2 linked regions of the Schizosaccharomyces pombe genome follow. Changing the gene in region 2 together with the main gene of any one other region gives a genetic interaction. Each region holds a gene or a part of one and is shown on either strand. Other genes may lie near its edges.

Evidence for each region.
Region 1: of mbx2 (region 2) and pfl7, changing one suppresses a phenotype caused by changing the other (phenotypic suppression), as found in Schizosaccharomyces pombe (one study listed by BioGRID).

Annotation. Positions count from the first base shown.
Region 1 is NC_003423.3:117,568-121,328, forward strand, and holds pfl7 (DIPSY family glycoprotein Pfl7), read right to left. Parts: upstream 1,762-3,761; coding exon 685-1,761; 3' UTR 325-684; downstream 1-324.
Region 2 is NC_003423.3:3,624,684-3,628,444, reverse strand, and holds the start of mbx2 (MADS-box transcription factor), read right to left. Parts: upstream 1,807-3,761; coding exon 688-1,806; 3' UTR 1-687. UniProt on the Schizosaccharomyces pombe protein: Acts in transcription regulation. May bind to a MEF2-like typee II promoter sequence.

The sequences.
Region 1 (3,761 bases), 3.5 Mb from region 2:
ATAGAATTCAGATTATGCTTGAACATATATTAAGTAAGAATATTTTGTTGACTTGCTAAAAATAAAGAACCATTGCCATGAAAATGTGTTCTTCTGTCGAATAAACTACTTAACAGCTTATTATCCGACAAAAAATTTTGATCAGTAATGAAAAATTAACAAAAATACATTTTTTCTCTTTCGGTTGCCAGACTTTGATATTCAGAAGAAAGTTAAAGCATCCGAAAATTGGAAGGGTTTTATAAATTTAAAAATTAATTATTACTTCTCCAACTTTTGCCATATTTTACATGTTCAACAAATATAAACCGCAATTTAAATCAATTTGGAAATTTGAAATTTATTTTATATAATTAAATAAATAAGTCCGTAAGCATTTAACTTTGCTGCGAACAGAATTGCGAACTAAACATTTTGGGGTTTTTATTTATGAAAAATGTAAAATTATTTTTTTCGCTCATAAAAAGGTTTTATGTATCAACAAAGATCGGAATTAACATTGACAAATGAAGAAGGCACGGACAAAGTAAATTAGTGCAAAAAGTTCAAGTCAGAATTCTCATAAATTTGTTAAATAAATTGACTTCTCGTTAGCAATAGTATGATTTTTCAATTCAAAATTATATATTAAATTTATTTACAAGGACTTTAAAGTCCAGTAAAAGATGGGATAAATCCTTAAAGTCAATAGGCCACGAGAATAACATCGTCCGCCCTAAAACCTACATCATCCATACCACCTGTCTCTCCATCATATTCAGGAGATGTGATCCATAATGCTCCATATTGGCTAACGTGTAAAGTCTGAATTTCCCCTGAAGAACTCTCTACAAAAGTGAAGGTTCCGTTATTATTTTTGATAATGTCAAAGGATGAATCTGGATCATCAGTGTATATCGTATATACAGGTCGTACGCAATCACAAGTTAATATTCTTTCGACAGTAGGATCATAATAAAAAACATTAACTGCTTCGGTGTTTCCCTCAGTAGATGTGTACATGTTACCTTCGTCTGGATCGGACACATTAGTATTCTTATAAACATATGAAGGATTGATTGAATCACCCACGAGTCTCAAGTGAAATGAGTTCTCTGGATTGCATCCACAAGACGGTGTGATAACCTCCACTAAACCTGACTGAGTTCCAGAAACTGTTTGTAATGTGGTTGTTGAGACAGGGTAACTAGATCCAGAAGTCAACGTAGTCGTAATATAACCAGCAGTCGGAATTACCACTTCAACAGTGTCAATACTTTGATCAACAAACGTAGTGGTAAATTGCGTTGAACCAGAAATGATAGTGGTTGTAATGGTACTGGCAGAAATTGAGGAACTTGATGGGATAGTTGAATTAGAAAGAATAGATGAACTAGTCGGGGTGGAAGAAGTTGTCGGCACCGGTGAAGTGGTAGGGATAGTTGAATTAGAGAGAATAGATGAGCTGGTGGGAACAGAAGCTGTGATCGGGGTAGATGAACTAGTAGAAATAGTTGAATTAGAAAGAATAGATGAACTACTTAAAGATTTTGATCCCGTATAAGGATAATTTTCAGATGTGTTAGATGCAACATTGGAAGTTGGATATATCGTTGTGGTTCCAGGGACTGGGCCATTAGTATAAATTGTAATATATTGAGGGCAGGCAGCTAATAGGTTTTCGTCCTGCTCTTGTAGTGATGCATAGTCAAACGCGAAAGCGTTTACCAACAAACACAATGTCACAATACATTTAAGGCAAAGTGACTTTAACGAATTCATTGTCCGTAACTGTCAGTTTGTTCTAAACTTTTAGTCACCTCTATTGCGCGAAGAGTGTGAAAGGATTTTCAAAAATCAACGACTTTATATACTTGAATTTTTATGATATCAAAAATTTATCACGATACGCTGAGGTTATCTTTGCTGGATTAAATACGTTATTCGAGTTCACAAAAGCAGCAAATATCGAAATACCATGAACACGAACATGTTGTAAAATTGGTGTCTGGTCGCTTTTGGGAAAAACACATATTAAGGGATGGGAAAGGAGATGGCTCCCCAAAGCATATTCCAGACAAGTTCAGTATACATTCGTGAAGCATATCACAATACCAGTGAAATCTTCTATAGGTGTAAAAACAAAAAGGTATGTTGAGTTTAAGACTATCATCGATTTGGCCATCCCGAACAACTAGTTACTTCACTTATTAAATATCCTTAAGAGCGTAATGTATATATTATTAAAAAAATGTAAAACTCAAGTAAAGGCTGTAGTTCATTTTGGACGTAAATTTAGTCTTTGTACCATAAATTTTATGATCACTGCAACACTACGTCTATCTGTATCACCACATAATTCAGGGATAAGTAAACGGGTGATGAGGTAGATTTTACTTCCAACCACTTAACTAAGTATTAGTAGGAAATGGTAACCATCATAGCAAGAAAATTTTAAGTAGTTATGTTTACTTTTCTATTTAGCGCTGAATACGAAAAACAATTGTTAATCCATTTATTTACTTACAAGTAACTAAGCTCTTCTTAATTTTCATTTCATTTCAAACCAGTTTTTTTGTGCGTAGGCCTGTAAAAGAGTTCAGTTGGAAAGCCAAGCACAACACTGATGCACTAAATTTCGACAAGTTTGAAACAAAAAGGATACAATGCTATATATCAATGGGAAAAAAAGCTTTACTTCATTGTTGAAGTCTCTCCCGCATCTGTTTATTGGATGAGTACAAATGTGCATCTGAAAAGATTTGTTAACAGCACGATGATAATTAACTACCGCATTCTAATCTGCTAAGTATTGGGGATGCATCGTTAGTTGACAAATCATTAATTTCGTTTTTATTACTTAAGTAATAAACAGACCTTCTAGCTTAGAAAATAAGCTAACAAAAGCCATCATTTCCTTACACTAAAAGTAGATTTAGCGAAAAACGTTAAAACTCTGAGTACCTTAACGAAGCAAAATTCTCCCACGCGAATTTAACGATTGGTGCTAACGAAAGCGGAAGTACGTAAACCTGAAAGGGTATTACAGCTGCATTCGGTAAATAAAAATGAAGTTCGGTAGGGAATTCTCTCACATAAGGATATTGAGGAGTAAGTAGTAGGAAAAAGCGGATGATAGCATTGGAAGGGATAATAAATTTTTGTGGGAAATGAGGGGAAGAGGGAAACGAGCAACTGGGGAAATTGATAGGAAGAACGTTGATGGTATTGTTAAGTGAATGAATAGAAACTCAGAGACTCTCACAAATCATTTAAAAAAATTTTCACTAGTCGAAAGTTTTTACGGTATTATTATTTTCATCTTTTCAAAGCATTATCCCAGTCTTACCACGAGATGTTCCTACATAATATGCTGCGCTTTTCATAAAAGCACATATCCTGCAAATATCTCTTCCATTTAAGATTATTTCGTTTATGCCTTACCCATGGATCTACGATTGATATCGAAGTTTGATTGAATTATGATTTCTTTGATACAATCACGAGTTATGTAAATGATATCTGTTGTGTTCTCGTTTTAGTATATTGGGTTTAACCTTTTCAAATTTGTTGCTAAATTTATATGGCACAGATCAGAGGTCGAACCCTTTTATTATTGAACTACTTCTTCTTCGGCAGCTCTCTAGTTGAGTAGCTGGCAGTTATGCTTACCATAATTGATTAGACATATCAATGAACTTAAGCATGTAGCGGTGCTCGACCGTTCAGACTAAAATAACAAGGTAGGGTCATTGGAGAAAAAATCATAAAGAAAGACATTT
Region 2 (3,761 bases):
GAATGCGAACATAAAGGTTGGTCCGCGAATGTTACATGTTGGTGAATTAATTAATGAAGTGGAAGGAGGTGGTTAAAACAAAATCACGAAAAAACTTAGTCCACTTGAATAGACAAAATGCGTGCCTGAATAAATAAGTGATAAACTGCCCGCAGTTTGCAAATAAATATTTAAACCGAAAATCACCATCTTGAATTCATAACAGGGAGGATCCAAAATACCGAAGATGGAAGTTAACAAAGTTAAACCATTGGCACATCTGAAATGTTCAGGTATTTGTATTTGCTAGCGTCTGAAATCATGCTAGGTTTGTAGTTCACATTGAATCCATAAGCTATCGGTAGGTGTCCATTTTATTGAACAACATTCCAAACTTCAATTATTGCTAGGTCAGTAATTTCGTTCGCGTAATTCAACTATAACGATAAATTGATAGACCTAGTATTAACAATTGTTTACTGGAATGCGATGTAAGTCAAATTAAAAAAATGGGCATCGCACAGCTTGGCAGTAAACTATTGGTGCTTGGATTGCTCCAAATCATATGCAGTTTGAGTAAGAAAACGATTGTAAGGATTTGATCGAGATGTATGCCAACTAAAATTATTACTTGTATACGATTCATTAGATCCAGGGAGGACACATGATGAAGACATTTGAAAGGGAGATTGACTTCTATGATATTCTTTAGTATTTGACATCACTGAGTGAATGTGGACTAATGGAAGCTACGTCTTGGAAGGATGATTCAGCTTCTTGATTCGTTAAGGAAGGAGAGCGATCATATGCCAAAAATGGAGTATTCGCAATGGTATGTTGAGAAGTCTCACAACTGCTACCCGAATACGCAGTAGGCGGAATAGGTGAGCCTTGTTTAACATCAAACATCTCAGGCGTTAGCTGTGGATTTGGATGTTCATAGAGAAAAGGAGGGCAAGCCGGGTTACCAGGAGAGACATTTTTTAAGGTGTATTGATTAGGTGAAGAAAGATAACTTGCTGGAGGCATAAGGACCTTCTGATCATAGGTGGACTGGTCTTGTTGCAGTACATGAGTACCCAGATAAGTTGGAACTTGTTTCAAAGAAGGAGACGTAGCTCTTTGTGGATAGTAGTAAGGAGCGAAGTGCGTTTGCCTACGATGACCAGGAAAGCCGTTATCACTAGGGTACGGAGAATGATGTTGCAATGGAACTGTAGCACCCGGAGACACAGGAGATTGGAAACAATAGGGCGGTGGATAGTTATTGTTATGAAAATGAGGATGAGGTGGATGATGAGGAGGACGAGTATGGGGATGATGATGTTGTGTGGGAGGAAATGGAGGACAAGAACGAACGTGATTAGACGATAAAGGCTCGGGACGACAGTAAGACTGAACTTGAGGATTATAGTCCTGAACAGTCGTTTCCGATGTTGCAGGAGAATCACCAGTGTCGAGTTGGGAGTCTGATAAAGGTTGGTCCTGTGACTTCAAATGCTTATTATTAAGAGGAGTAAATGAACCAGTTGTCGTTTCTGGAGACACGGTACTTGACTCTTCGACAGGCGATGACGAAAAATGAGAACGGTTTTTTAACTCATATATGCTGAGAGTGTTGAGTTGTTGAAGAGTACGTTGATAGTCAGAGGAACAAAAGACGTGCAAACGTCCTTTCCGATCAATGACTGTGACGGCGACTTCACAATCGGCTAGCACAGCGAGTTCATACGCCTTTTTGTAGAGACCTTGTTTTCGTTTGACAAAAGTTACGCTCCTTGAACGATCGTCGGTTATGGGTGCAATGGAGATTTTTTTGCGCCCCATATTAGACGTTGTATATATTTAGTAAGGTTTGACGAGAAAAGAGAAAAAGAGTCGACGAGGTTAACCAAAATTCAGGTATAGGGAGAATGACGAAAACAAACGAGCAAACGAGCGAGCAAACGGGCAAGTATATAAGGAACAAATAGAAAACAGCAGATGGGGTTTATTCTTGGAATTTATGTAACAGTTTTTATCCCTGTCTTCCCTTCTCTGCACCGGATCTCTTGAGGGTAGATTTTTCGCTTGAGAAAACAAGAGCGCAAAGTTCTCCAATTGTGCTCGTAATTGATAGTCGATTAGACGAATCTAAGTTGAGATTTAAAAACGAGGAAGCTATTTTTGTTTTTGTACTCTGGGTTGAAGCGGGCGACGAAACTAAAGATATTAATAGAAAAAATTTTTTTAGTAAACAAGATAGCCGGAACGGGTGGTTTTCAAGTGTTTACAAATGAGAGGAACAAAGACAAATTAAATGACTAGATGTTTTTGTGTGCTATTTTTAAAATAGAAAGAGGAAGAATCAACACTTTGGAGAAATTTTTGCCTTTGAAGCTATATTTTTAACAATTGTCCCCTCCTTTTCAATGTCAGGTTTAAAAATATCTTCTCGCCAAGTTTTATAAATAAATTAATCTGTCTCAACAACTTGAAATTATAAAATTAGGTATTTGTTTGTTGTCTGTGTGCGTTTATAAGTGCGTGTAAATACGTGTTTTTGTACATATATATGTGTATATATATACAGGGATAGCAATAACTAGGAAACCGCAACGTCTATTTAATGCAACCTTCGTAATACACACTGCGTTCTAACTTAGACAAGTATCGACGCCAGCATCGTAACATACCATTGTACATATTTATGCAAAAGAAAATAAATTCCAATAGTGAACGAAAAAAATTTTCTCTTTCCCTCCATAGGCAATTGTTAAGGGATAGGTTTTTCCTGCATAAGTACACCAAAATTAGGGGCTAAATGTCTTCCATTCACGTTTATCCGAAGATGCGTAGCACTTTGCCAACATTACCGATGAATTCTCAATATACAAACGCGTATAAGTGTACATTATGTTCCTCATGTAGACATTCTGAAAATTCACCGTTTCGGCTACTCGGGTAATTTAAACTATTTCTTCATCTCTCTTTTCGAAAAGGGGAGGTCACAAGGCCGAATACTTTTTCATGAAAAAGGTGGGATAGCCTCGATTAAATGAGCCCTAAGTAGGAAAATCCTTTAATTGGAGGAGGAAGATGGACATAATGGAAAGAAGGTTAGAAGGTACCTTTTGAGTATGGTTAAAGTCCACTTGGATTGCAAACCTGACTTTGCAGTAATAGTAGAAAAAAATAGAAAGAAAGCGGGATTAGCAATTATTAGGAAAGAATCATAGTAATCCCATGCACCTAATCCAAGGTTTTGGAAAGGGGATTTTATTTTTAGACGCGATAGTCAGGCAAAGCGTATGGGCCAGCCAAAATACTTGGCAAGGCTAAAGAAAGAATCGAAGAGATAGAAAGATACGAAAATTCGGAATGCGCTGATGATCGCGTTTAGGGATTTTCGTATGTAATCCTTCACTTTTCAACCAGTCAGTCAATTGGAAACGCTGACCCTATTACTGATGCAGTGTACGATACTCAATTCAAAGGGGAAAGGGGGAGGAGGGCGTGAAGGAACAATATTACGAGTGTTGTCTCCGCTCCTTGACTATACTTAGACACACAAGTCCGAAAATAGACTCGCTCTGATTTTGCTTTTCGTAACTTGCTCTATTAATAAATGTATCCGGTAAGAATGGGGTACAATACGAATACAGTACATTGGGAAAAAATAACCAGAGAGGTAGCTTATGAGTAATTTGATTTCGCAATGAATCGACCGTTACGACCTGCTTATACTTTAGTATAGCTAGACGAAGTAGTTTGGATTAGACTTTAGGAGTAGTCCTATCTGG